4 linked regions of the Tamandua tetradactyla genome follow. The protein of the gene in region 1 purifies or fractionates together with the protein of each later gene. This does not show direct contact. Links are inferred from orthologs where the notes say so. Each region holds a gene or a part of one and is shown in the gene's direction. Other genes may lie near its edges. The genes, in order: CBX1, ADNP, EHMT1 and ZNF644.

Region 1 (6,984 bases):
TCTACTCAAAGGACTTAAGGGCAAAGACACAAACGGACATTTGCACACCAATGTTTATAGCAGCATTATTTACAATTGCAAAGAGATGGAAACAGCCAAAATGTCTATCAACAGACGAGTGGCTAAACAAACTGTGGTATATACATACGATAGAATATCATACAGCTTTAAGACAGAATGAACTTATGAAGCATGTAATAACATGGATGGACCTAGAGAACATTATGCTGAGTGAGACTAGCCAAAAACTAAAGGACAAATACTGTATGGTCCCACTGATGTGAACCGACATTAGAGAATAAACTTGGAATATGTCATTGGTAACAGAGACCATCAGGAGTTAGAAACAGGGTAAGATAATGGGTAATTGGAGCTGAAGGGATACAGACTGTGCAACAGGACTAGATACAAAAACTCAAAAATGGACAGCACAATACTACCTAATTGTAATGTAATTATGTTAAAACATTGAATGAAGCTGCATCTGAGCTATAGTTTTTTGTTTGTTTGTTTGTTTATATATATTTTTTGTATTTTTTATTTTTATTTTTCTCTATATTATCATTTTATTTCTTTTTCTGTTGTCTTGCTATTTCTTTTTCTAAATCGATGCAAATGTACTAAGAAATGATGATCATACATCTATGTGATGATATTAAGAATTACTGATTGCATATGTAGAATGGAATGATTTCTAAATGTTGTGTTAGTTAATTTTTTTAATTAATAAAAAAAAAAAAGAATGGCATAGAGCACCATGGCAGTGATAGCTCTCTCTACTTTGAAACATAAGAGCCAGAATTTACCTAAAAATGAAATATATTATATCTGAAAACAGTTGTCCAAGATGTACAATTTAAGGAAATGACAGCCTAGAAAAGCAAGGTCTTAGGTTTTTCATAAAGGCCAAATTCAATACCAGAAAGACCACATGAAAGAAGAGATTAGGTTGACTGTGTGGCTACAGCAGCTAAAACTAGGGAAAGTATGTGGCATTTATATGGGGAACAGAAATCAGCTCAATGTGAGGCGTTAAGGATGGCAGCATTTTATTCAGGCAGGACTATGGTTTCGGAATTATGTTACTGGAAAAAGGCCACGGATTCTTTTGCCCGACATGCTCAATAACCAATTCCTGAGACACCGGGGTTTCAAAGTGTTCTGGTTTGCTAGCTGTCAGAATGCAATATACCAGAAACGGAATGGCTTTTTAAAAGGGGAATTTAATGAGTTGCTAGTTTACAGTTCTAAGGCTGAGAAAATGTCCCAATTAAAACAAGTCTAAAGAAATGTCCAATCAAAGGCATCCAGGGAAAGATATCTTGGTTCAAGAAGGCCGATGAAGTTCAGGGTTTCTCTCTCAAGTGAGAAGGCACATGGTGAACACAGTCAGGGCTTCTCTCTCAGCTGAAAGGGCACATGGCAAACACGGTGTCATCTGCTAAAGCTTTCTCTCCTGGCTTCCGGTTTCATGAAGCTCGCCAGGAGGCATTTTTCTTCTTCATTTCCAAAGGTCGCTGGCTCGTGGATGCTCTGCTTCGTGGTGCTGCAGCATTCTCTGCTCTCTCTGAAGCTCTCATTCTCCAAAATGTTTCCTCTTTTATAGGACTTCAGAAACTAATCAAGACCCACTCAAATGGGTGGAGACATGTCATCCCCTAATCCAGTTTAACAACCATTCTTAACTAAATCACATCACCCAGGGAGATGATCTCATTACAGTTTCAAACACACAGCACTGAACAGGGATTATTCTACCCTTAAGAAATGGGATTTATATCAAAACATGGCTTTTCTTAGGGGGCATGCTTCCTTTCAAACCAGCACACAAAGACAAAGAGTTTATTTCTAGGCGCATAGTAGGAGAGCAGATGGCCCATTGGCCCAAAATCTATCTCCCCAAGTTTACGGGGGTTCAAAGTTTTTAAGGATTTTAACAAGGGCAGATGAGATCATTTTTAATAGCAAATTCAAAGGAGAATAGGAAACGTGTTATCATTATCATTTCAATAGGAGAACATAAGTTGAAAGGAGGGGAGGCAGAGGTTTCACTTCAATACTAAAGGTGTAAGCCAAAAGGAAGGGAGACAAGTTATCTTTTAATAGTAGAGTCTAGCTGAAATGATTTACAAAATGTCTGGGGCTGAAGCTAGTCATAGGCTGACTTCAAATTCTTCATTAGGACTTTTGCCCTACAAGAAAATGACCAAATAAACGGAGTAACAGCTCCTGCAGTCACAAAGACCCAAGATAAGAGCTTTACAATCATTTCCGATATCAGGGCATCTGAATTTATAGTTTAGGGTATTCCCCTCTGTCTACTCCAGTATACCAGAAAGCAAAAAGCAGTATGATTCAGTAATCAAAATCATTGCTTAGATCTTGGTTTCTCGGTTACAATTAGAAATAAATTCAAATCTTTATTCCACCAGTTTTTTGTGAATATCATTGAACAATGAATGGTACAAGATTATACAACCTTTAAGCCTTCTCTGAAAAACAGAAATAATAATTTCCACCTCCCAGGCTGCTGTGAGAATTAAATAAAATCAATTGAGGGCTTATCAGAATTCCTAGCACTATAGTAAACACTTAATTATAGTAGCTATGTCATTAAGACTAATTTTCTCATTATTTAAGTTTTCAAAACAGAATAGAATGCTTCAAGAGGGAGTGAGTAGATGAATTTTTGCTTCTTTCTGAAGACCTAACCCACATCCTTGGGAAGAATTGCCCTCTTCAGTATGCTCCCTGAGCCCCCTTAGCAAAACTGTTAAGATACTGTCCGCTTGTTACATGGCAACTCTCTTGAGTCCTGCCCAGTGCCTGGTTCAGTGTAACAGTTCTATAAATGCAGACTTCTTCATTCTGGGGTAAAGTGCACTAGATTTTAATAGCCTTTCCCCTTTCCCCCTGATTAGAAGGCTACTTTAATATTTAAAGGAGTTATCGTCACCTGATAGAAGTTCTCTTTAGTTATTGATTGGGTAGGAAAAAGAAGATAGTAAAAAAACCACAAATCTGAGGTGAGCAGAAGAGATGAAGAAAAGCTTGATCGCCTCCATTTTCACTGTCAGGCAGGAGAAGATCTAAGTCATTAATCATTTATTCAACAAATACTTTTTACTACTTATACGCAGAGGATGTATTGAGCACTGGGGAAATAGTGGTGAACCACACAACACTGGAGCTTGGAGCCCAGGAGGGAAGACAGACATTAATTGATGACAATAAAGTGGGGTAAAAGTTATGATGGTAGACAGAATTTCCTTATGAACGGGTTTGGGAAACAAACCCTCCTGTTGAAATCAGGAGAACGAGAACATTTGTCTGAAAGAACAACAAGCAAGGGGTGGCTGGTAAGGCGTGTTCATGAAGGAGTGGGCACTACAGCCACACACTGGCACAGCCAATGAAAAAGGGAAGTCCAGGATGCCGTTAGGACTACCTAGCAGGAGGACCTAACCTTGTTTTCAGGGGCAGAGAAAGCCTCCAAGAGTAGTAAACTCAATGCTAAGGAGGAGGACCCATACTAAGAGCACTGGAGATTTAAGAAGGCCGAGATTTGATAAAATTCTGATGAGGAACCTGTTAAAATTCCAACGAATATATATATGTAGAATAGAATGATATGTTAATTTTTTTGTTGTTAATTGTTGTAATTAATAAATAGAAATTTTTTAAAAAGTAAAAAAAAAAAAATCCAACGAATAGAGAAACTGAGTTCCAGAATTGTCCAGAAATAGTTAAATTTTCGGCCCTACCCATGAGGCTCGCTTGTAAACCACGTTCTAACTTTCCAGGGTGCAACGTTCTAAACTATAGGACATCGGTCCCTCCTGCTTAAAATTAAAACTCCCTAAAGCCCTGGCAATTTGTGCGTGGCGGCGTGGGTCGCGCGGGGTCCTTTGGGTCTTGTAGTCTTGGACGGACATCAAGTCCCATAGGGCTGTGCGGTGGGTCGCCGCGCCTGCGCGATGCGGTAGGCGGGCAGCGCACTGTGCGAGGTTCTTTTGTTCCGCAGAGGGGAGGGCCGTTGGCCGGGGCCTGCGGTACGCCGCCTCAGTGAGGGGTTCGCCCGCGGCCACCCGGCTCGTTGCTTTCCTGGACGCCATTCCCCAACTGGCCCGACGCGCCGCGTCAGTAGCGCAGCACCGATTCCCCTCGGGCTCTTGGGCGCTGCTCTGAGGTGAAGAGCCCGCTAGAGGCAGGGAGGCGGGGGGAGGCGCGCGGCGGCAGCAGGAGCCGAGGGTGAGGGGCCGCGCGTTAGCGGCGGCGGGTGGGAGTGGGGAGCATGATCGGGTTCCCGCTTCGGTCCTTTCTACTTCTCGCGCGGAGCTCTCCGGAGGGCGCAGTGTCGGGTGCGGGTCGCTGGAAGGATGGAGAGGGCGGGGCGGCGAATCTGAGCCAGTGATTGAAGCGATTCGGGGGGGCAAACACTTGGGTCACTTTTCCAGATCTGGGTAGACCGAGACAATGCTACTTGAGTTGGGTGCGTAGCTGCAGGATTGGGCTGGAAACACTTTAGTAAACTGGGAACGGGACGAGCTGGGCAGCCTTGCTGCTCGGGTGTGCGTGGGGAGGGGATGACAACTGGGAGACCCGAGGTTTAGAGGTGTAACCCGAGGATATTGGGTCCTGCCGGGGTTGCGGGAGGAATTTCGCTAGCCGGCTAGGGAGAAGAAACTTGTAACTTGTAAGGGGGGTGAGGGGGTGGGCAGCAAACATAAGGTGTGCTACTTGGAGAGATCTGCTGGACTAGGTGTAAACAGGGATTGGGGAATAATTGTTGAATAAATTGGAGAGGGAGTTGGAAGGGGGAGGGGCAGGTTTTTGCCTTGCCTGGTTCTAGAGGGGAGGAGCTGTTAGGATAAGTGGGGCGGAGGCCTCGAGAGTATTTCTGTGAGGGGTAGAAGGGAAAAGAAAGCTGGCAGCACTTGCTTGCATGGGAGGCAATAAGAATAATGTGTGAAGAAGAAATGGAACACGCTTTTTTCACTTTTGTAGGTTTTGGGTTTTGTTTTGTTTTTTTCTCTGTTTGAGTCCTAGTACCCCTCTTGTTTTGATTCAAGATTCATTCCGTAAGTTTTGAACTGGGATGATCACAGGTCTTACGACAGATGCTGAAATTGTAGAAATGTATAGGTGAGTTAATAGTTAAGGAATGAAATGAGGTAGTGAGAGATTGTGAGATGGTGTGGGAAACTGGCAGACAAAAGGAAAAGTAAGTTTTTGGGGGGGCTCCTGTTTTTTTTTTAACCAGCGTTCCCTTTTGAAACAAAATGTGAATATAAAGTGTGCAAACCTTTTTTTTTTTTTCCGAAGAAACCCAGAAGGCTAAATGCTAAGCTAAAGATGAGAGGTTTTCATGGTTTGGTGTTATATTCATATGTGTATTCGTTTAACTTTAAAAGTTCTGTTATACTAGAACCTCTGGTCAGGAGTAAGGTAAGCTCTCTTCCTCAGTGGTGTGAAAAGTGCAGGTTTTGGAACAGATGCATGCATACAGCCAGAAAAGTAGTGACTTTGCCTTATAGATGCCTTATAGACATTGATTTGTGAAGTGGTGTGATTGAAGGGCACCTATACTGGAACTGGTCTCACCTTAATGAAGCTTCAGGGCAGTGGAGGATCTTCGGTCATTTCCGGTTTTACCAGTGGTGACATTCTTCTTTGGCTTTCGGTAGGGTAACGGTATCCTAGCCTCCTGCTTTTTCGAATACAAGATACCTATAATTTTCTAACTGATTATCTAAAGAAAGGAAGTCATCATTATATTTTCTTGTGCTCATTTTAGGATCTAGGAGTTTATTTTTGTGTTTATTTAAAAAGATTTGATATTGCAAACTATAGACTATAGTTAACAGTATTTTTATATTCTTTCATCAACAGTAATAAATGTACCATGTACCACAACAATATTATAGGTCAGTAATTGGGATTGGGGGTATAAAGGGGTATGAGAGGATTGGGTTTTCTTTTCTACTTTTATTTCTCTTCTGGAGTAAGAGAGTAGTAAAAATGTTCTAAAATTGATCATGGGTATGTATGCACAACTATGTGATTGATACTGTGAGCCAGCGATTGTGTACTTCAGGTGGTTTGTATGGTGTATGAATATATCTCAATAAAACTGCATAAAAAAGTGAAATTTGTCTATTTAAAAAGGAAAGAGATTTGATCCATTTTTTTTGTCAGTTTCTAGTGGTTTATCCAGCAAGATTTCCCTTTTCCATATACTGTCCGTAGTGCTAACACAAATTTTGCATCAAATTTGATAGGTATTTCACTTTATATGTTAGTCTTAAAGAATTTTGAGAGTAAAATTCTAAATGCCAGTTTGTGGCCTTCCATAAAGATAGGCCAAGTCTATTATTCATCCAGTGTCTAGTACATAGTAGGGCCATTCAGATTGTTGATGAATAGGATTTTGAGATCCTTTCTGAGAACTCCATGTGTTAAATCAGCAGAATTAATTGTTTGCCTTTCTTAGATCTATGATACTTGGCAGGGTAAACTGTTGCCTTTGGTGTATTGTGTTAGTCTCAGTTTCTGATGTAATAGCCCTGGTGTTAAATACAGAAAAGGTATGCAGACTGTGTAAATAACCACTCTAAATACTTTAGGAAAGCAGTTGGAGAGGCCCCAGGTTCTGGATTTCAACGGCAAGCTGTCAAGCTTAAATATTTTCTGTTTTAAAGGTATCTTGAAAAATCTTGGTGCCCTTTGTGTAGAGTTGAATAATAATAAACGTTTCCCAAAGGCAGTTCTGTTGAGAAATTGAATAGCCTTCCGAAGGTTGACTGGAGAAGTTATTCAAATATGGGCAAAATTTAGATCCCCTCAGTATTTGAATTGAGTAATGTATTTTTTTCTGCTTTTACCTTTTATGATCAGCAGGCCAGTAGGGGGCAGCCTAATTTGTCTGCAAATTGTGCCTTTTTAAAAAATAATAGCTAACACATTGAGAACCTAACAGAACTC
Region 2 (7,736 bases), on another chromosome or scaffold:
TGTATTTTCTTTACCCATTATTCCAGTGTTATGGCTGTGTGTGTCATCTGCGTAACCCTGTGCTTATGTGCATAAAGAAAATCTTTCCTTTGTAAAGAAGCTGTTCTCTCCAGATTGCCCCAGAAAAGAATCTGAGGATGCTAAAGTAGCTGCAATACATAAGTCATGTTCTCTAGGCTCTTAGATGTATTTTTGAAATGTTAGTAAGAGCTATTAGTCACCTGTAGCTTGTAACTGATTGATAGTTGCGTTTAAAACATAATCTAAAATCATGGAATGAGTCTGAAGTCATTTTCCAGAGATTCTCCAAAACGCTGAACATTCTTCCTCTACTTCTTTAAAGAAAAAAAAATTTTATGCAGACTTAACCTATTACCTAGTTGAAAACAATCCTTTTGTTCTTTTATTGGAATCTGAAAAGGAAATACATTGCCAAATCCCTGTTTGCTGTTTCATAGATCTTCGTATTTCTAAATAATGATTGTTGGTAAATATGATTAGGGGTTTTTAAAAATCTACTTTAGTACTTACCTAAAGTTGGAGAAACTGTTGCTTTATGGGGCCTCTCCAAATTTCACTTTTCAAAGAATAAAATTCCCTGTGTTCTCTGAAAACATGAAAAGTATTAGATTTCCTTTCATTGACTAAAAATTTCTTTGTGCTAGTGAACTAACATTTTTGTGAAATTAGTGTGGTATTTTCAGTACGTATGTTTGCATATGTTTCTCTGTTTTATAAACTATATTTTGAAAGACGATTTGATTATTTTCCTTGGCAGCCGTGGAGCCAATTTTATAACTCAGATTTTGCTGAGACCGGGAGCATCTGATTTGACAGGAAGCTTCAGGTACAGTGAGAATTCTTATTTTTATATTTTCTGTTATTTACAACTTCTTGCCTAAATTCTTTTGCTTTGTAGTGGCTATTTCAAAGAAATCTTTACATTTCTACCCTTTTTTTTCCTGAGTCTTTTTTCTTTTTTTTCTTTTTTTTTTTTTTTTCCAGAAAGCTGACTGAATTCTAAGCATCATCTTAGGGAGAAAGACTTTTTTAAGGCGCATTGAAGGCAGGGCTCAGGTTGGGTGTTATCATCAGTGCTCAGTCCCTGGGGGGCGGGGGGGGGGGTCTGCATCGTCTGCGGACAAGTTTAAAGTAATGTTTATATAGACCTTTTTCAGTTCCCTTGTTTTCCAGATATCAAAAAAAAAGGACCAAAGCCTGCTGTTCTAGGTCCCTGGGTGTTTTTTTTAATGTTTGTTTGTGTTTGTTGTCTCTTTTTTTAAGACCTCAGTAGATGAATTGCTTTGTATGGCCATGTCAAATGACTAAAGACTGAGGTTGCTAGATTTTTATTTTATTATTATTTTTTAATCTCTAAAACTACAAATGTCTGTTCATTTACTCTAACGTCCCATCATGCTTTGGTTAATGATTTACATTACCTGATATATGCTTTATTCCATTTAATGTTAATTCTTAGGTCCTTCATTTAAAACAGGAAAATCTAGGTCCTTAAGTGTCAGAGTTAACAACAACAAAAAAGATTAACTAGTACCTCTAGTGTAATTGCAAGTCTATTGAACAGCATTCGTTCAGCGATAGGGAGAGAGGTTAGCAAGTATGGAGAGAAGCCATCACAAATTAAATATCAAAATGAAAGTGAAGCCTCTCTAGAGTTAAACTGAAAATTGACTAGAAAGCAGAATTTGGTATATAAAAGGTAGGGGCCCATAAATCCCTTCAAGGCACAGGAATTAGTTATCTGATTAAGATCTCTGATTGCTACATAGCAACAGTGAAAGAATCGTGGCACTCACAAAATATCTGTGCAGAGGGAATGTCCATGTGGGTTTACAGGCCGAGGGTGTGATTGTTCTGAATGGAGATCCACTCCTTATGGAGGAGGGGTTCTTGTCTTTGGCCTGGTTTCCCTATTGACCTCATCAGAGGGGGCCGCCTCGCCTTTATAAAGCAGTGCATCTTGTCCCTCATTTTGAGTATCTACTGGGTGCTACGCATTGAACAAGAGTCAGAAGTCCTTGTCCTCACGGAGTTCACACGTTCCAGTGGCGTGAGACCCACAGCTTCGTCAAGTATAGGCAGTATCTTATGGGGGTTATGCTGTGGAGAAAAACACAGCATGGAGAGCAGTGGGGTGAGGGTGTCCATAGAGCCATGTGGGGACTCAAAGGCGGGTGAAGATGACCTGGGAGTTCTGGGTTTCATGTCATGAGGGGGTGATGTGGCTGTGTCCTATTCAGATGGCAAAGCAGCCACACACAAGTAAAAGTGAGCCTGTTAAATTTGACTGTTATTCAAAATAGTGGAAAGCTCTTGTCTCCTCAAAAGGATAGTGACTTAAGTATAAGCGGCAAGGTTCAACTTACTATTAAATTTCCTATATTTAGGAAGCATGTTATTTAACAAAATAAGAAATGGAATCCCAAAAGAATGCATTGTGATGTAAAGCAAAGACTACCTGGTCCTAGTTCCATTTATTTTTGGGTCATATGGCTTCATGTATATAATTTTACCTGATTAGCTGTAGGGCACAGTGAGGAGAAATAAATGTCTTGGAAAGTGAGTCTTAAGGGGAGTAAAATGACTTCTTAAAGTTGAGGAAAAAATTCACAGCCCAATCCCAGTTTTAAAGGTAATGCTAAAATATTGGGCCTTCACTATTCTAGTCTTACCCACCCCACAGACCCACCTTCCTTTCCCCACTTAACACCATCTGATATTAATATTATCTTTATTTAGTTTCTCATTCACTGCTACAACTCCAAGGTATGTAGAGGTACCAGAAACAGTACATTGTCCAAAGAGTGTTTGTTACTGAGTAACTGTTAGAGCCAACAGAGTCTCCTTACTTTATTTTGAATCCTTATGAAACCTGTTTGGGTAAAGGAGTGCACACACTGTGCTGTGGTCTTATCCCCACTTAAGAGCTTGCAGAGCCAGCTGGTAAAGTAACCTTAGAGGAACCCTGAGGAAATAACAGGTTACAGCTTAAACCCTAAGGCACCATAGATCCAACCCACCTTAACTGTTGAAAGGAACAGAGTTGCCCCAAACTGCCTCTGCTTGCTTTCCTAAAAGAAATTGCTGCCTCTCTACTCAGAGACTGATCATTTTCTGACCTTGGTAACTCTGAAAACAGAGTTCCGTGCTATTGACTGAAGGACATGATTGGGCTGGTCCACAGCCCTTAGACTTCTAGGTCCTCTTATTTGTAAACCCGCAAGATCTGTTTGGCTGCAGTCCATCTAAAGTTAGGCTGTGCATTCACCGATTATACATGCCTATCGCCAAGCTCAGCTGATGAGGAAAATCTTGTTAATTACTAGGTTCTTTCTTGGCATCTAGTTTATATTGTCACTTCCACATCTTCTGTCAACTCTACTGCTATGGTGTTTTGGAACATTTTCTTCTTTTGCAACTTGAAAAGTAAATTTTAAGAAAATTTATAAACTAAAATAATGAAAGTTCTTCAAAATGATTTTTATAATATAATAGAAAGATTTTCCAAAAGGTATTGAGAATTCATTTTCTACATTATTTAGCAAATATTTAATGACTTTTTTGACAAGTATATCACAATCATTGACTGAGAAATTTTTATACACAAACTGCTAGTGAAAGTTTTAGGCTCTACAATTTCCAGTGAATTTTTATTCATACATTATTTTAATTTCTTACAGATTATACCGAAAGGAAGTTCTACAGAAATTAATAGAAAAATGTGTTTCTAAGGGGTATGTCTTCCAGATGGAGATGATTGTTCGGGCAAGACAGATGAATTATACAGTTGGCGAGGTATGGGATGGATGGTGAATAGTATGTTGTATTCCTAATAAAGAAACACTCAAGTTTAGACTTTATAATGTAAGTTTAACTTTCATGCTACTAAACTAACATGAGAGGCTTCTACTTGTTTAGAATGTCCAATTCTCAAGGCTAAAAATTTGGATCACTTTTGACATATAAAGTTTAAATCATTAACTGAAGGCACCATTTATTTTACATAACTAAAAGTTGCTGATACCTTGTCCATTCTGGCCCTTTGTTCTGACTAGCCAGAATTAGTGGGACGAGTCTCTTCATTAATTTTCATTGTCATAGCCAACAGCCACCTACTTTAAAATGAATAATGAGTTACACATGCCCACTTCCTGTGAACATATAAAAATTACTTGGAATTATAGACACAGTTGGGGGGAAGAAGAGTATCTGTATTAATTTAGATATTAAATATTAGATACATGATATTTAAGATTTTTAACATAATGCTAAAGGGCTGAATTTAACTGGTAACTTAAAGAATGAAGTAAAAGGGTATAATTTTTCCTTGAAATGCAGCCTGAAACATGAGTAAACCAACTTAATGTTCAGGACAGGTGCTTTTCAGAGTTACAGATTTGGTTCATGTGACCTGTGTTTAGGTATTAAATATATGGCTAATTTTGAAATCTTGGAGGTACACACAGTTGCTGTAAGACTCCCCTATATCTGAATGTACTTGAAGGACTTTCTTTGTAGGACTAATGCTGTTTCTATTGTCTAGGTGCTTCTCTGCCTCTCCACTTTTTTTGAAGATTGACTTTAATGTATCTGTTTTTTAACTAGGTTCCGATATCATTTGTGGATCGTGTTTATGGTGAATCCAAGTTGGGAGGAAACGAAATAGTCTCTTTCTTGAAAGGATTATTGACTCTTTTTGCTACTACTTAAAAGAAAGTTACTCATTTACACTTATGTTCATTTCAATTTAAACATAAAAGAAGGCTGGTTGCTGATTTTTATAAAATGTACTCTTAGAGCATAAACTGTAAGGTAAGGTAAATTTCATGTAAATCTTTTTTTCTGAAGAAACTCCCATTTTATATTTTAAATTAGAAAAATGAACTCTTTCCTCAATTTCTTTTTTATTTTGCTGTACTGAGATCTATAAATAAATGTATGATTTTTTGCACAAAATTATTGCTACTTTCATTAGAGTATGTGAATACCAAATTTCTTATATTAGGATGATTTTGAAATATTCTTTATAAAAGCTGGATCCGTAGCTCTTTGTATCTAATATATGTCAGAAGTAGGAATGTCAGTAATTATATTCATAAAATATATATGGCTGTTTCCTGTATGAATTGGGGGAAGAAACATACCTCTGCCCTGTCCTTAAAAATGTATCTCAAATGTCTTAAATGAGTTAAAACATTTAGAGCAAAATTTTAAGGTTTTGGTCTTTGCAGCTGCTGCCATGATAAAGTATTTCCTCTGTTAGAGCAAGTGTATTTAAAATATATATTCTGTGAATTGAAAATAGCCTGGCAGTTCATTGCATAGTTTTTTTTTTTTTTTTTTTCTTTTTTTCTTTTTTTCCTCTTCTAATAGAAGCAGCAACCTCTGTCAGTAAATACTGAAGAGCTTGAGGCATAAAGTTAGCTGTTTTGGTAATTTTTTTATGAAGATTTTTTTCTCAAAATATTTGTTTTCATATTATTTTAATACCCTCACCAAAATATACATCATTACTCATATGACATAAGTCCCTTCCTGACAGCTTTATTTTCCATTCAGAAGGGTATTCTGCCAGTTAAAATGCAGGTTAACTTGTATAATAAATCTAGCACAAATGTTGTTTATTCACCTTCTCTAAAGGTAGGTATTTTTTTTAAAAGGTTAATGAATTTTTAATAATAGCCACCTTTTGGATCATGTACCTTTTAAAATTTGGGTACTACATACTTTGAACAAAAAAGCTTAAGATCAAGTTGACTTTTCTTTGCAAGTAAATAGAAGAGGTGTCTGAGTTATGTAGTAATCCTGTTTAATGAACACTATTCCTAATTACTGCCTTTTCCCATCTTAATTTGGCTGCTTGAAGAAATTTAAAGTTTGATTTTTCATTTGCATTTCTCTCAAATAGTTCCTACCAGAAATGAATGCCAGAGTATGAATATAAAACATTTGGTGTCATTATATTCCCCCTTCCAATAGCTGAATCCAGGGTACACATCCCATTAATGGGCAGGGCTGTGCAACTGGCCCCACCTTTCTTGGGGATGTGACTTCTCTCATTGGGATTTCACTAATAATAACTAGAAAATTCATCAGTGGATGATGTGAACTATTAGTTTTAAGCTAAGGTAATAGAAATGTAAATATTCTGAATTTTTGGGCTACTCTGTTCAGAACCTATTCTCATTAGCCTAAATCCAGAGTTAGGTTTGTGTCAAATATGTGAAGCAGAGTTTAAGTAAATACCTTAGAGAACCCATAGTAGAGAACCTCATCTTTTAGTTCTTATTCCCACAATTATTACAACACTATCACTATTGGAATTTAATGAGAAGAAAGTGAGCAGTGACAATTTTCACCATTTGGAAATCATTTAGAAAAGAATCTGGGCTGTTCAGATGCATTTTTTTAGTAAATCTGATGACTTTTAAAAATCTTTTTAAACGTTGTATCTGAATCGAACATCCCTTTTTGGTTCATAAATGAGGCAAAGGATGAAATACAGATGTTTTCCCTTCATATTTGCATTATCACAATATAAAATCTTAAGTATATTTTAGGAAAACTGAACTTTTAAGATAAAATTATTTTGCTTATATTAACCTTTGCATGTCTTCTGCAACAGCTAATTAGATTCTTCATTCTTATTCCTCAGAATCAAATGTTTTGCCCCACATATGATAGTTTTTGTCCAACTTTTTTTCTGCTATTGTTTTCCCTTGAAATACTGGTTTGGTTTTTAGAGATGTATTTTATCAGTTACAGAAATTAATGGAATACTGTTGGATGAAAGACATTTTGTTAAACCAGTTAAGCAAAATCTTAAGACATTGCTCTATATGTAACTACATTTCATTTTCAATTGGCTCGTTTTGAGATAGGGTTTGAAGGTATGGTTTCAAATGTTTTTAACTTGAAACTTAGAGAAATAATCAAAAGACGAGTCTGTATACGGAGTACATACTAAGAAAATAGACTCATCCTTCCCCGTCGCCATTTTTCACTTTTCAGTGTCTACCCAATTATATATTCTCAGATGCAGGTCCACAGTCCAGGCGATAGTGTGTTGGTTGGGACTGGCCTCGGCTTGCAGGAGTCCAGCGCTGCTTGGGCTGCCCACACTGGCCCTAGGACCACACAGTGTGGCCTTTGCACCCTGTAGGGCCCGCTACAGCGCGTGTCGGCCTTAGGCCTCGAACACCGGGCTTCCCACTTGCTTTCCTCAGGCGGATAGAAGAGCCCGCACTGGGACCTGAAGAACGTCCTACCCCAGAGCAGCAAGACGCCTGGAAGACCCAGCGGGCAGGGGCCGGCGTGCGAAGCCGGCGCTGCCCCTGCCCCTGGCCGGCCTGCGCTGGGCCCCGAGCACGTGGAGCCGCCGGGTCGCCCGCGTGCCCCTCCCCACATGTAGTCCAGGCCCACTGGGCCCGCGCAGGGATCCCCAGCACGGCCACCTGACTCGAGTGCCGCGTGCTGCGGCGTGCTGCTTCTGCCTCCGCCGCCGGCGCTGCGGCCTGCACACGGGCCCTGCAAACGCACTGCGGCCATTATCCGCGGCGCCTCCTAGTGGGCCGATGGCAAATCCCTCTGCTTCTCGCGAGAGCTGCCCCTCAGTGGCATTATATAATTCCCCTCAGGCGGGGGTGTGGGAGGCTGTGGTGCCACCCTCCCACCGAAAAAGTTAGGTGCACGCACAGGTGGGAGTTAGAGAGCTC
Region 3 (7,178 bases), on another chromosome or scaffold:
CGCTGCCCCAGTCGGCCCTGCCCGGCTGCAGCCTCATCCATATCGACTACTACCTGCAGGTGCGTGCTGGGCTTGGACGGGGGGTGGGGGGGCCCGGGCCTCAGGCCCCGGCCTCTGACGGCTTCCTTTCCGCCCCCTAGGTCTCTTTGAAGGCCCCCGATGCCGCCGTGACCCTCCCGGTCTTCATAGGCAACATCGCTGTGAACCGCGCCCCGCCCAGCCCCCTTCCCGGCCCAGGGCCGCCCCCTGGCCTCGTGCTGCCCTCAGCGCCTCCCCAGGACGAGGGGGCGGCGGCGTGCGGGGGCGTCCGTCTCGAGGCCCCTGCCGCCCTCTCCACCAAGGCCTCGCAGCCGCCGCTGCCGCCGCCCGCACCCTCCGGCCCCGCGATCCTCGAGCCCCACCCTGGGCAGCGCAGCCCTGCGCCCCCCCCTCTGTGCATCTCGGCGGGTGCCACAGTGCCCTACTTTGCTGAGGGCTTGGGGGGGCCGCTGCCTGCCACCAGCGCCTGGATCCTCCCCCCGGAGTACAGTTCCTGGGGCTACCCCGATGGTGAGTGGGGCCGGCTGCGCCGGCGGGGGCAGGGGCGGTGCCCGGGAGCCCCGCGCACCGCGCAGACGCTGCTCTCTCCCCGCAGAGGCCCCACCGTCCTACGAGCAGAGCTGCGGCAGCGGCGAGCGCGGCCCGAGCCCCAGGAGCTGACCCCCGCGGCCTCCCCGGGCCTAGCCCGGCTCCTCGTGCCTTCTCCCCGGGTCTGGCCCGGCCTCTCAGGACCCACGACTGTGGTTGACCTCCCGGCCTCAGGCCCCGGCTCCCCGCGTACGGCGGCGGGCGTGGTGGGGAGGGAGCCCCTTGCTTGGCCCTGGAGAGACTTGTGCAAATAAAGAGCTGGATTCGTAGAGATGGGCAGAGGCCGGCCTGGGAGAAGGGCGGGCCCCGGGCCCCCCGGGGGGCCCTCCTCTGCCCCTCAGGGCGCCCCCCGCCTCCTTCAGGGGGCGCTGTGGAATCCTGAGTTTTCCAGGCCCTGTTGCTGTGGGGTGGGGGTGGGGCGTCGCGCCTGGGCTTCTCTTTAGCCCGGGAAATGGTCCAGGAAATGGGTTGGCGCTCGGGTCGCCCTCTGTGGCTTGCTGCTGGAGTGTCTGAGTTAATTGAAGAAATGATTTGTGCTGTGGAGAAAGACCACCCTGTTGCATTTGAGTAGAGTACACTTCCGGCACCCACCTTTCCTGGCAGCTCAGTTCTGCACATAGGGAAACACTTGGTGGGTGGGTGGAGGGCCTGCTCGAAGACAGCTCCCCCAGTAGAAGTACCTTTCTCTTGGCATCCTGTGTTTTGCTGGCATCAAGGTCAAGTGTGGCTGTCACGGACACTGCTTTTTTAGCTCCAACACATATGCAGTACTGCTCCTGCAGTTTCCTGAATGTCAAGACTGTCATCCAGGCGGTGCACAGGTAGTTCAGTGGTTAAAATGCCTGCCTTTTTTGTGGGAGGCCTGGGTTTGATTCTCTGAACATGCACACCCCCCCAAAAGACTCATCTAAAACCCCAAGAGCAATCTAAAAAGGCTAGGTTCTGTAGTGCCTGGTCTCCCAAAGGGGCATCCTGCACCAAAGAGATGACAGCCGATGTCCTGTGGGGCCAGTGGTCCTGGGGGTACCCTGGGAAGTGCTGCAGGTGGTGGTTGTGATGAACTCTGGTTCGAATTCAGCTCTGCCTCCTGGTGAAGAGGTGACCTTGGCTAAGGGACTGTAGGCCATGGGACTGTTAGGAGATAGGTCAAGTGTCCCTACCTCACCTATTATATGAGAGGAGTTTATTTCCTGTACGTATACAAGCGGTGGTAGGCCCAGTCCTGGGGTAGAGTCGTCTTGCACAATTGTGGCTTCCATCCCAGGGTCCTTGGTGGTGGTTCCAGTTTTCACCATCACCCGGCCTACTGGGATGGGAAAATGGACAATGGGCTTGGACTCCATGTTTTAAGGGAGAGGCAGAAGATGAGTCAGGTCACTTTTGCCCACATCCCATTGCCCAACCGTTGTTACCAGTGTGGCACAGAATTGCGATCTTTAGTCAGGTAGCCATATGCCCAGATGAAATTTTATTTGTGGGAAAAGAAGTGGATGAATATTGGAGAAAAGCAAAAAGTGTCACAAGTGGGATAATTTATTAGATATCTGGTAGATGCAGCATAGCCTTGTGGTCGGGAAAGGCAGCATTCTGTAGCCAACTTACCTGGGTTTGTCTCCCCACTCTGCCTCTTGCCTACCTTGGGACCTTGAAGAAGACACTGCACTCTTGCTTCAGCTTGCTCCCCTATACTCTCTGGCCAGAATAGTGCCTCTCTAAGCTACCACATCATGTGCTGACCATGAGATGTGACCATTGCTCTTCCTGGGCAAATGGGAGAAAAAAGGGAGCCTGTGGCCTCCTGACAAATACATTTACAGTTGATATTTCCTGAAAAGGAATTTTCTCTGCATTATTACTCATTTATTCATTTAACAAATGCTAACCTTGTCTCCTGTATGGCAGGCACTATCCTAGGCACAGGGGCACAACACAACAAAAATTCCTGATCACCTCAACTTACAATCTAGTGAGGGAGACAAAATACAAAACAAAAACAAAAAAGGCTAAGAGAGTCAGACATAAAGTGTTATGCCCCCAATACAGCAAGGCATAGGGACAAGGGTGTTCTAGGAGTTGGGTATCAACTTTAAATGGGGAGGCAAAGGAAGGCTTCCCTACAGAGGCAACATTTGAGGATGTGAAAGAAGGGAGCAGTGCAGTGTTCCAGGTAAGGGACAGCACATCCCAGGACAGGAGTGCTGGGGGAGAGGATGGCGCCAGAGAGGTAGGTGTGGGGGAGGCAGGGCAGGTTTGATGTGCAGGCCAGGAGAGCTGTTGCTCCTGTCTCCTGGGAGGGCTGGGGTAAGGAGTCCCTATGAGAACTTGGAGTCCCCCAGCCTGCCATGCGCTGACTTAGCATTTGACAGAGCAATTTAGCTGCCCTAAAGGCTGGGAAGATATCCGACTTCCTCTTCTGCATGGGCGTGGGCTGCCAGTACCAGACTGAGGAGGATATTCACGGGTAGGGGTCCTGAGTGCCTTCAAGACCTCAGGGCCTTATTCAGTTCTTGCCAGCCAGGTGCCCATCCTTCACATTCCTACGGTGACTGGCTAGAGAACCCCGATTTCAGCCCATGCTTCTTCTCTCAAGCCCAACATGTGGGAGGAGGTGTCCTAGGCCAGTTTATGTGGTGCTGGGCACGCTGGTCCAGTAAGGGCTTGGGGCTACTTGGTAGGAAGCTCGGAGATGAGGGGCAGGGAGAGATGGGACCCAAGCCTTGGTCTTCAGCAAGCAGAGCTTCTTCCTTGCGCAGTCAGTATTTAGGAAGGAACCAGGGGGCGACTAGGCAGCTCGCCCAGCAGACACGCCCCCCCCTCCCACCCTGCTGGGGGCAACCACCTTTTGGACACCTTTTCGTCCCTTGTTGGAGTAACTCTCCCGCAGACGGGGAACTTCCGCAGCTGGGACATTCCCCCAAGCCAGGCACAACCCCCTCCCCCCCACATTCGGGGCAATTCCCCTAGTTTACTCTCTCAGCTGGTCCCCACCCCAAACGGGCACGGCCCCAACTGGGGCACCCCTCGTTAGTCGGGACCACACCTTCCAGCCCGAGCATCCCCCGACCAGGGCCTGCACCCTCTCAGTCCGTGAACTAACCCCCAACTGAGGCACCACCCTAGAACGCAACACCGGAGGGCCGCCTTCTACCAAAGCAAATGTTATCAATGTGTGTCCGGGTTAGAGGTCAGGGGTCGGAGACTCGGATCCTTCTCCACCCCCGGCAAGTCCACCAGAATGCCTTTTTAAAATGCGAGGATATTTGCTTTAAATGGGAATGCCACTTTCGTGTGAAGGTCTATCTTCCGCGAGGGCCGGGACAGCTAAGCGCAGCCAGTTCCGGCCACCGCCGCGGCCCGAACTCCAGCGCGCAGGCTAGGCGTTACCACGGCGTCAGCCCCAGCGCGCAGGCGCAAGCGCCGCCACAAGCGCCGCCACGGCTCCTGTTCCAGTGCGCAGGCGCGGGCGCGGGCGCAGGCGCAGACGCAGGCGGCAGCCCCGCCCCGGCTCCTGGCCCCGCGCGGGGCGGGCGGGGCGATGGCGCGCGGGAGGGGCGGGGCCACGCTGCGGGCCCGGGCCATGGCCGCCGCCGATGCCGAGGTGAGCGAGCGGGGCCGGCGGCGAGCGGACGGACGGGCGGGCGGGGAGCGGCGGGCGGTCGGCGCGGGGGGTGGGCCGAGGCGGGGCCGGGCGGCGGCGGACGCTGGGCTGAGGGGCGCCCCCGCCGCCCTTCGCCGCCGCCGCCGCCTCAGGCCAAGGCCGGGCCGAGGCCGCCGCTGCTGCCGCCCGCCGGGCGCGCTTTGTGCGAGGCGCGGGCCGGGCTGGGCGCGGGTCGGGGGTCGCGCCGGCGCCGGTCGCGAGTGAGGCGAGGCCGCGCGTCCCTGCCTCCCGCGTCTCCCGCCCACGGCCGGGACCCCGGGTTGTGGCGCCGCGCGAGGGGCGCCTCGAGCCGGGCTTCTGCTGGGTGGGCCTGGGAGTGTGGGAACCCCGAGGAGCGTCTGGAAGACAAAAGGGAAAAGTCGAGTGAGCCGGCGAACTTTGAGGAGCGAGGAGCGGCGAGGCTGCTTCCTGCCCTTCGTTCTTTCCTGGGCTGCTGTTGACCTTTCACTTTGTTCTTAATAGGATGGCACCATCGTCAAGGAAAAGTTGGTCAGTCCTGGCACAGCGCTCCCCAGACAATGCTTTTCCGTCTCTGGTGGCTGTCACAGGCCGAAATGCACTCTTGACGGGAAGCTTTGCTGACTTAAGTTTATTTCTAAACAAGCAGATTTAAAGTGCATCGAATATAAAAAGTTCACATTCCTTTTGTCGATAAACCTGGCTTTCCTCCTTGCTCGGTCTCAAGGATAGTTTGTTCCTTCGGTGTGGTAGCATAGAAATTAAACTTTTGTGAGATGCATCACCAGCTTCCTACTGAAAGAAAAGCAAACAGGAGGTGGTGTGCTTATGGAAAAGCAGAAGTTGTGTGGTCTCAGGATTGAAATCGGTGAACAACTTGGAAAAAAGTGATTACCTATTAGTTTTTCTTTGTGGCGTAATTATTGGGACTTTCAGTGATCAGAAAGGTACGGTATAACAAGGAGCTATTACAGTAACGTGATTCATAGAATTAACAGTATAGTTTTGTTCAGATAAATGTACAATCTTTGTCTCATTGCATTATTGGGGGCATTGATAGAAGTAAATGGAGAAGATGCAAGGGAGCTCTTAAATTCAATGCTTTAGTTATTTATTATCTGTAATATTAAAGGAATGTATTAGGTTCTGGGAACAAAAAGATCAGTTAGCCTTAAGTCACTTACTAGCTAGTAGGGAGGTGAATCAGTTAGCCTTATGTCATTTACTAGCTAGTAGGGAGATGTGTAAGTGATTAGTGATATCCTATATTGAGTACCTGGAGTCCTGGGTACTATGCCAATCGCTTTAGATAAGTTCTTTGATTAAGTGCATCCTGTGCAGTAGATACTGTTATTTCCTGTTTAGCTGATGAGCAAAACAAGACTGGAAGAGGTGAAGTAAGTTGGCCTAGGCAGTTACAGGACTAGAACTTGTTTGGTATCTGGCACATAGTAGGTACTTGATAAATAATTGATGAGGGAATGGACCTAGATGTCTCTGATTCCACAGGCATCCTGGAATAGAGGCTTGTCAGCCAATAGTGATGATAGTCTGCTTTTAGGTACATTTAGTGCTTTATGTGAATGCACTCATTTAAGCCTGACAGTGGTCTTACCAGGTAGGTACTATTGCTGCCCAGTTTACAGACAAGGAAACATACCAGAGAGGCCCAAGGTTACAGAGCTTGTGGCTGAAAAGGTGAACATGTAGGTGGTCTGACTCCAAGCCCATGCTGGCAAAGTATGTGCTGAATCTGAGGAGGGAAAGGATGTGACGGAAGGGTCATTTCCAGCAGGGACCTTTGGTGATGCTTTGTGGAGGATTCATTGCTCTGTTTTCCTTGAGCCAGCCCATCTCCCCACAGTGCCCCTGCACATGCTGCTCCAGTCACCGCTTGTCCCGGTCACTAGCATCTGGGGTGTTTCCAGCACAGGGGGGACAGACTTACTTGGAGCTGGTTTAAGTGATTGCCTGCAGAGCACAAAGAGCATGTATGTTCATAGACTTGCTGTCATTGGAACACAGTTCTGTTTGTGAAAATGCTTGGTCCAGAATCTTCTTAATTTTGAACAGTTTCTTAAGGTCTGTAATGAAATGGTCATTTTATGTTTCTTAAAAACTCTGGTCTCAGTTTCATGATTCTAAGTGTTTATTATGGAAGCAGGTTATGGGGGAAATCCATCTGTACTGTAGCACTGCTTGCCCCAGGTTGTCATTCTCCTGAACAGTGTGTAGTGTAGGCTGAATACTATGGAATGGGTCATCTGTTGCCACTTAGAGTTCACTGATTACCAGTGATGAAACTAGTAAAGATGACAGCTGAAACTTACTTAACTGTCTAATCATTCTTTCCTCTTTTCCTTGACCTAGAAAGATAGTTACCACATTTTCACACTAAAAAGAACTGCTGAGTGGATGGGGTATATATACCCTGTGTCCCGTTTTGTGGATTAGGAAACGGGGTCCATGGGAGAACTTGAGGCTTCTGCCTCATTTTTTGGTAGGAGGGCCTTCCCAGCGTAAGGCCTACTATGCTTTCTAGTGAGATGGTTATTACCTTTGCCTTTAATATTATCTAAAAAATAATATGTAAATATGTTTTGATTTTAATTTTTTTAATACAGTTTCATTGAGATACACTCACCCACCATACAAACCATCTGAAGTATACAATCACTGGCTCACAGTATCATTACATAATTATGCATTGTAAATATACTTTAAAAAGACAATGCTAACAGACAGTTTTAAAAGAGGCAGCTCTTCCCTGCCTTTACCCTCTAGGGGATAGTAGCCACTGCAACTCTTATAAGCTGTTTCTTTTGGCATTTCCTTCATAAGAAATAAAAAGAAAAAAGAAAAAACTCATTCATACCATACCCCTTACTCTTCCCTCTCACTGACTACTAGTATTTCCATCTATCCAATATGTATA
Region 4 (7,987 bases), on another chromosome or scaffold:
TAATAATCCTTTGATGTATATATTCCCATTTTACATGCAAGGAAAGAAACTCAGACTTGGGTCACACAGAGTTAATGCGGTAGCAGCTAAGCATTGAACTAGGCATGTCTTGATTCTAGAAATGAGACCTTTCTATTCTACCTTCCTGTGTTGTCATCTTACTTAGTTGTTCAACAGTTTGTAAGTTTTATCTCCTGTTCTTCAAATTCCTGTTCTTAAAACGTTACAGAAGCATTTTTCTGTATACCCTTATTTCAAGTGGTGTTTTATTGTCCACATTGTTTATTCATAGCATCACATAAAGACTCTTTGTCTTGGCTGGACATTGGTACAATGATACTGGCCAAAATGGAAGCTGCCTTTTTCTTTACTGAGTAGTTAATATGAAAAAATTCAAGCTTAATCAGAACTAATAATTTGTGGGGCTAAGCATGCTGCAGGTTTAATAATGCTACCTTTTCTTATAGCACATTTAACTTAAAACAGGATAAAGTAAAAGTGGATGATATATTCAGTTTATAACCATCTGAAAACAGAATTTTTCTTGTATTTTTACACTTTGAAATGACTTAAACTTCTTTATTAAAAAAATCTTGAGTGACATTAAAATTAAATGGGTAGTTACTATTAGCAATTCTTAACATAATCTTTAATTATAAAAGAAAATTGTAGTTAATGAAAGAAGAGTATTGAGTCCTTACATTCTCATTGGGAGGATGATATACATCAAAAGATAATTGGAGCATTTATAAATAGATTGTATAAGTCAGTACCGCCCAATAGAAATATAAGTTGTCATAAGTGTAATTTAAAATTTTCTGTAACTGCATTAAAAATAAAAACTTAGGTAAAATTAATTTTATTGATATGTTTTATTTAAAAACAGTATTAAAATATCAAAATACAATCAGTATAAGCATTGGAATAGTTTATGTTCTTTTTTTCATACTTGGTCCTCAGAATCTAGTGTATCTTAAGTACAAAGCATATCTCAATTCAGACTAGCCAGATTTCAAGTACTCAATAGCCACATAAAACTGCTGGCTACAGTATGGGACAGCACAGGTATAGTTAGTAAGTGCTGTAGGAGTATGGACAAAGTGTAAAGTAGAAACTGAACTGAGCCTTAAAAGATGACTGGGTCAAGAGTATGAGACTAAAGGCTGAAGAACACTGTTCCTGTAAAGAAGAGATAGAAATTAAAGCAAGAGATATATTTTGAAAGCAGATAATAGAATAGTCTGAACCCGGTTTAGGAAATTTAGTTTGTATATTGTGGGGTGTGTGTGTGTGTGTGTGTGTGTGTGTGTGTGTGTGTGTGTGTGTGTATTTGAGGGTGCCTAATCCATGGTCATAAATTGAGTACTTGATGAATATTTAATAGAATTAATATGAAGCAGAATACCAAAAATGCTAGAGAAACTCTACTAGCAAAGCCATGTGGGCCTTTAAAGAGAAATTTAGGGAATATTGATACTCTATGGTAATATAATGGAGAGTTTTTAAATAGGGTGAGAACTAAGAAAAGGTTCTTCAGTTTGGCCAATACTTTGTTATTGGTGACCTGTTTTTAAATGTTTTATTTAGACATAATTTACACATAGTGAGGTGTACAAATCGTGAGTACAGGTTAGTGAATTTTTACATATAAGTGAATCTAGGTACCTTCTACCCAAATCAAGATATAGAACATTTTCAGAACATTTTGGGTCCCCTTTTACTAAATGGAAGTAAGATTCTTGTGCCTACTGTCAGTCCCCTTTCAAAAGTAACCACTATTCTGAATTCTATCTCTGTAAATTAGTTTTCTTGTTTCTGAACTTAATTATGGCATATCTGTCCTCCTTTTCAAGGGTAGTGAGAGTTGGTGCTTGTGTCTATTTCTCTTCTATCCTTGTTTGGTATTTGTGAATTTGTTGGTATTTTAGTTTGCTGAAGCTGCTGGAATGCAATATACCAGAAATGGAATGGCTTTTAAAAGGTGAATTTATTAAGTTGCAAGTTTACAATTCTAAGACAAAACAAATGACCAAACTAAGGCATCCAGAGAAAGATAACTTAACTCCAAAGAAAGGGCCCATCAGGGTTTCTCCTCAGCTGGTAAGACACATGGCAGTGTCTGCTAGCTTTCTTTCCTCATTTCATAGGACTTCCCTGGGGGTATTTTCCTTCTGCCTGTCTGCAGGTCTCTGGCTATGTGGGCTCTGTTGGCTCTGAAGCTTTTTCCAAAATGGTTCCCTCCAGTAAGCAATCCCACCTTGAATAGGTGGCGACACATCTCTATGGAAACCATCTAATCAGAAGTTATCACCCACAATTGGGTGGGTCACATCTCCATGGAAACAAAAAAAGATCCCACCCAGCAGTACTGAATAAAGATTGAAGAGTATGGCCTTTCTGGGGTACGGGACAGTTTCAAACCTGTACAGGTGGTAAAACAGACGATGGGTAGCTGGAACCGTGGCCCTTCTGTTTTATTTCGGTTTTTTGTTTGTTTCCCCCAATCTTGATTATGCCAAGTTTAGAGAGATCCTTAGTCTTCACTATTATAACTCTTTAGAGGCTAGTCTTATGATTTCAGTGTTTGTTCAGAATGGAGAGATGTGAATTTCCTTCACAGGTAACATAAATTATCTGGCTTGCTTTTAGTACAGTATTCTCTAAACACATAGCCAAGAAGGAGGTGGAGGAGGTCTTAGGTTGCCCCCTAATGTAGTTGCATTTTGGATCCTCTTTGACAGTAGCTTGTAGGTAATATGTAAGTTTAGCTTTCAGGATTTCATATTTGCTTAATAAAGTATTGGGTATTTCTTATTGTGATCGTAGGGATAGAAATTAATTGGTGTACTACTGTTTACAGATTTGTATCCACCTTAGAATGAGAAAGATTTTGGCATTTATTTGTGTGTAAATAATTAGGATATTACCCTAAGGCAAATTGCACAAAAGATTCACTGGTTAAAACCCGTGAAGGAGATTTCATAAAGTGAGAACTGAAACTAGAATTGTTGATCATGGTTTTTATTTCTAGGTCTTCAATCAGTTTGTTTGTTTTTTTTTTTCAAAATGGGTTAGCAGCATTATTTTTCATAAATACTGAGCACTGGAAGCTTTTATTATATAACAATATTAAATTGGTGCTTTGGGGAGAAATTTGATTTTGTTCTGAAATATGTATTACTAAAAAAAGTTGTAAAAGGTATGTAATGATGAAAATATGTCTTCATATTTTAACATGCTTAGCTTTGAAAATTGGAGTTTTTTTTGTAAATTATGCAGAATGGAGCATGAAGAATTTCTCAGCATTGGATTATGAGTGCTTTTGAGTTTATGAATGAAAATATTTACTCTATTAAAAAGTTGTATGTTTGGACTTTGTGCTTTGTTTACAATTTTTAAAACTAAAGTACATTTAATATATTCCTATTTCAAGAATTTTAATAGTTTCCTTAAAGAAATAATAAAACCTCATCTATCAATTTTTCTTATTGTAGGTTTTGTGTTTGTGAAGTATAGAAGACTAAAGCAGAATTAGGTTAGGAATTGAAAAAGTATATGCTTGTTATCTACAAAATATCAAAACTTTCTTCATAGCTTATTTGGGCTAGATTTCAAAACTTACAAACAAAATTATTACAATGGTACTAATTATATGTAGGAAGAAATGCATTGAACAGTATATGTTTTCCTCTTGACAAAAATGAATGTTATATTTGAATTCGGGATTGGGAGATTTGAATTTTTATATTCGGAAAAGCATTGTGTCATTATATTTCTCCCCACTTTTGCTTGTTTAAATGTTTATTAGTTATTATACAAATTCACTTACTGTCTCACTAGGAATATGCACATATACAGTGCTTCAAATAGCTCCTGATCTAAAACGTGATTTGAAGAGCACCTATTAGGGAAATATTTGAATTACTGAGCTTATGTGAAACAAAATAATATGAATGAATGGTTTATAGAAAGTGTATTAATTAAAAAAAACCTCTTGGCAAAAATTTTTATCTAGATATTGAAAAAGTGGTATGTGTAGATTAGTGGAGAGGGAAGGTACTGTCAGCTATGAGAAAGTCATGTTTAAAAGCACGGAGTAGTTCAGTGATTAGAATGCCCGCCTTCCATATGGGAGACCCAGTTCGATTCCTGGACCATGCACCAAAAAGAAAAAAAAAAAAAAAAAGCACAGAGATGGGAATTATGGAATGCAAGCATTTTCCTTGGCTGAAGTAGAGTTTATTTGAAATAAATATAATGAAAAATAAACTTGATAAGATTGTGTCTTGAGCTAGAGGAATCTAAAGGAGTTTTATGAGAAAGAAATAAGGAGTTTTACTGAAAGCCTTTGAGCAGAATTGCATGAGGAAAAGAGGAGAGGGATTAACAGTCAAGTAATATAATTGGAGAAAAGATTGGTATGAAGAAGGTCTGTTAGGAAGTTAATGTCTTGGTTCACGATGAGTATATGAAGGTAGCATGGGTAGTTTTAAAATAAAACAGGTGGGGACTAAATTAAATCAGAATACGGGGGTAAGGAGGACATTGTTTGCATTTTAGAACTTCACCTACTCTGCGACACCAAAGGAAGAGAGGTTTATTTTGTCCAAAACTTAAATTTTCTGTAGCACATAATCTAATTCAATCTGTTTGGATAGATGATTTCAACAATCCAAGCACATTGAACCCAGAATGGGAATAAGGGCTTGTAATTCTGTATAGCTTAATGTAATGCACGGATACGTCCCAGAGTGTGATGAGAGATACTGAAAAAGTATGGCAAAATCCCTTGAGGGGTGGGAGAAAAATTATGGAACTATTAAACTCTACCAATGAGGAAACTCCTGGTACTGTCTCAAACATTAGGGACTCCCAAGTCAATAGGCCATGCCCTTGATCTTGAGGCTTGCTCTTGTGAAATTTATTTATTTAGTAGAGAAGCTAAGCCTACCTATAGTTCTAAGAGTTACTTCCAGAGGACCTCTCTCTCTCTAAGCCCAACTCTGCAAGTAAAATCATTACCCTCTCCCCTTTGTGGGACATGACATGTAGAGGTGAAAGCTGTCTTGGCAATATGGGAAATGACTTCCAGGGATGAGCCTGATCCTGACACCATGGGATCAGCAATGCCTTCCTGATCAAAAGGGGGAAAAGAATTGTAGCAAATATGGTGTCAGTGGCTGAGAGAGTTCAAAAAGAGTCGAGAGGCTACTCTGGAGGCTACTCTTATGCAACTTTAGCTACATATTGCTGTTTATCATGGTTTGCTAAACCCCAATCCACACCTTTCTTGCCAACCCTAATGAACAGCTAGGGTTTTATCTGAGATTCTACAAAGGTTCCATGCATTATGATTACTCTCCAGAAACTTAGAACCTCTGGATGGATTCCTAGGCCAGATAATTCCTGAAACCCAGAGGGGCCATCTTCTCCAGAAAATGACCTAGTTCTGTCCCCTTCTCCTATATTATCAATAGCCCTTTCCAACATGAAAAAGTTGAAATGGACATAGCCCAAATACCTCTAAAGATGGGAAGAAAGATCAAAGGAGAAGGTGGAGTTATAATAGAAAAAATGACATTTAACAAATGAGTATAACAGCTGAATCATATTTCTTTTAGATCCAGTGTCTTGGAGCAGGTAGAAGGAAAAACCTAAAATTGTAGAACTGTAACCCATACCAAACTGAAATTGTGATGTGCTTTGAAATTTATTGCTTTTTTGTATATATGTTATATTCACAAATAAAAAATAAAGTAGATTTCTATTGTGGCTCCTAAGTTTGTAGTGCAAAGTTAAAATAAGAATGGAATAGTTTTATTATCTTCTGGTATTGAACATAAATTTACTTGGAGAAAATTTTCATTGTTATTAACACTAATTGAGATACATCTGCCTTTTTCTATTAAAAAAAACTGACCTGAGGTTTTTTTTTAAAGTTTGATTTGAAAAATAAGTAAAACACAAGAAAATTATGCTATAGCAGTATTTTCTGAATTTCAGGTACTTTTGAGTACAAAATATTTTAGATGAACGGAAAGAGAAGATGTAAACTGTAATGCTGAGGTTTGAGCATTTGAACTGTGGTTCTAGAGACATTCTAATTGGTAGAGGGACAGTTGGGAAAACAGGTTAATTAAAATTAATAATCTGGGGTGGGCCATCATGACTCAGCAGGGAGGGTTCTTGCCTGCCATGCCAGAGACCCGGATTCGATTCCCGGTGCCTGCCCAGGCAAAATAATAATAATAAATAATAATAATAATATGAACTACCAGTGTTTCAATTTATTTTTAAGTAGATATTTGTTTAAAATTTAGGAGCATTTGGGAACATACTGCTTTTTTTATGAGAAAAATAAAAATCCCTAAACTGTGGTTCCCTCAGGGTGGTGGTAGTATTTGATATTTATGATATGTTTTTCTTAATGTTGACTTTAAGGTTTCCTAAGTTGAAAGTGTGCTATGTTTTATAATGAATGAAGACCTTTTTTACAGTAGAAGTAGAAAAACATGAAATATCACAGAAGTAACATATATTTTAAAATCTTTTCTGCTTTTATTAGAGTTAGAAGATATAGCAGAAATTTCGGAGTTAATGAAATTTTTAAGATAGTATATTTGTCATAACAAGTTTACATTTTAATTGTTATCACAGTTAATATAGACTTAACTTCAGTTAAGAAGTTAATGGTGAGATTTCTGGCAACATGGCAAAACAGGCACATTTGACTCTTAAGCTTACTACTGAGGCAAAACAGCTAAAGTAAAAGAATACATTTTCCCCTACTCACTCTCGTTGGGAAATAGAGATTCTGCATACATGTCTGAAATTTGGGGTTTCTGTATAATAGTGTGGGTGAGCAGGGGTGACCGTGGAACTATCTATTGATTAACCTAGTAAACTGGTGCAAGGAGAGAACGGTGGTGGTGAAGTTAGAGATAATTTTCAGTGGTTGCGGTAGCACTCAAAATTTTGTGCTGTGGCAGTAAATGTCTTACAGTGACAGTGCCATTGACATTTATGCAGTGACATCCTAAATAGGATGCCTGACCGCCTCCTTATTCATCTGATTTTCCAAGCCTGATTCACCAATTTTATTATCAAGTTTGATTATTTGATATTCTTCCCATAGCTTTTTCTGAATTTAACCTTAGAAATTTAGACTGAGAAATATTGTAATTCAATGTTTGAAAATTTATCATATAAAATACATAATAGAAGGTTGAAAGATAAAATTTAGGAAATCTCCCACATGTAACATAGGGGAAAATAAGAAAAAAGATCACACTTGTGGGTTTAACATAGGTGTGATTAAAACTACAGAACAGGAGAAAACGGATGTAGGGAATTGTTTAAGAAAAATTGAAGCAAAACCTTAAGTTTCTAGATTGAAAAGGCTCACAGAATGCCAAACATAGTGACTGAAATAAAGAATCACATTATGGTGAAATTTCAGACACCAGAAATAAAGGGAGGGCTCAAAAATTTCAGGTGAGGGGAGGGAGGAATGGGATGTATAAAAAAGGATTGGTACTCAGTAATGTTGATACTTGAGTAAATAAAATAATACCTTCAAATTTCTGAAGGAGAGTTTTTTCCAAACTATTAATTCTATATACCCTGTGTGTATACCCTACCAAGTGTAGGAGTAGACTAAAAATAGGAAATGTTAGAATATTTACTTCAAATACACTGTATCTCAAGAAGTTAGTACAAGGTGGGCTTCATCAAAATAATTGGGAAATCAAAAAGAGGAGGGAAAACACAGAAGAAATAGAAAAAAAAAGATTTTTGCAACTATATTCATTAAGGGATGTTGATTTGTTTTTGGTGTGAGGATAATATTGTCGTCTTAGTATGAGTTGGAAGAGTTCTTTTCTATTATTTGACCAGTTAGTGAAAGACTGGTGTTAATTCTTTGAATATTTGCTAGCTCTCACCAGTGAAATCTGGTTCTGCGCTTTTCTTTGTGGAAGTTTTTTGA

What was found.
Region 2: the proteins of CBX1 (region 1) and ADNP purify together in Homo sapiens (affinity purification with mass spectrometry; 6 studies listed by BioGRID and IntAct, with this or other methods). This does not show direct contact. The link is inferred for Tamandua tetradactyla from reciprocal best matches to the Homo sapiens genes CBX1 and ADNP.
Region 3: the proteins of CBX1 (region 1) and EHMT1 purify together in Homo sapiens (affinity purification with mass spectrometry; 3 studies listed by BioGRID and IntAct, with this or other methods). This does not show direct contact. The link is inferred for Tamandua tetradactyla from reciprocal best matches to the Homo sapiens genes CBX1 and EHMT1.
Region 4: the proteins of CBX1 (region 1) and ZNF644 purify together in Homo sapiens (affinity purification with mass spectrometry; 3 studies listed by BioGRID and IntAct, with this or other methods). This does not show direct contact. The link is inferred for Tamandua tetradactyla from reciprocal best matches to the Homo sapiens genes CBX1 and ZNF644.

What each region holds. Positions count from the first base shown.
Region 1 is NC_135332.1:29,359,732-29,366,715, reverse strand, and holds the start of CBX1 (chromobox protein homolog 1), read left to right. Parts: upstream 1-3,968; 5' UTR 3,969-4,189; intron 4,190-6,984. UniProt on the Homo sapiens protein: Component of heterochromatin. Recognizes and binds histone H3 tails methylated at 'Lys-9', leading to epigenetic repression. Interaction with lamin B receptor (LBR) can contribute to the association of the heterochromatin with the inner nuclear membrane.
Region 2 is NC_135327.1:2,009,971-2,017,706, forward strand, and holds the start of ADNP (activity-dependent neuroprotector homeobox protein), read left to right. Parts: upstream 1-4,731; 5' UTR 4,732-4,833; exon of another isoform or gene 4,834-5,290; intron 5,291-7,736. Other genes in the region: DPM1 (dolichol-phosphate mannosyltransferase subunit 1), read left to right, coding at 779-847, 3,702-3,816, 4,627-4,731.
Region 3 is NC_135328.1:130,278,837-130,286,014, reverse strand, and holds the start of EHMT1 (histone-lysine N-methyltransferase EHMT1), read left to right. Parts: upstream 1-4,166; 5' UTR 4,167-4,204; coding exon 4,205-4,225; intron 4,226-7,178. Other genes in the region: ARRDC1 (arrestin domain-containing protein 1), read left to right, coding at 1-59, 141-549, 635-699. UniProt on the Homo sapiens protein: Histone methyltransferase that specifically mono- and dimethylates 'Lys-9' of histone H3 (H3K9me1 and H3K9me2, respectively) in euchromatin.
Region 4 is NC_135337.1:33,360,802-33,368,788, forward strand, and holds the start of ZNF644 (zinc finger protein 644), read left to right. Parts: upstream 1-4,986; 5' UTR 4,987-5,502; coding exon 5,503-5,554; intron 5,555-7,987.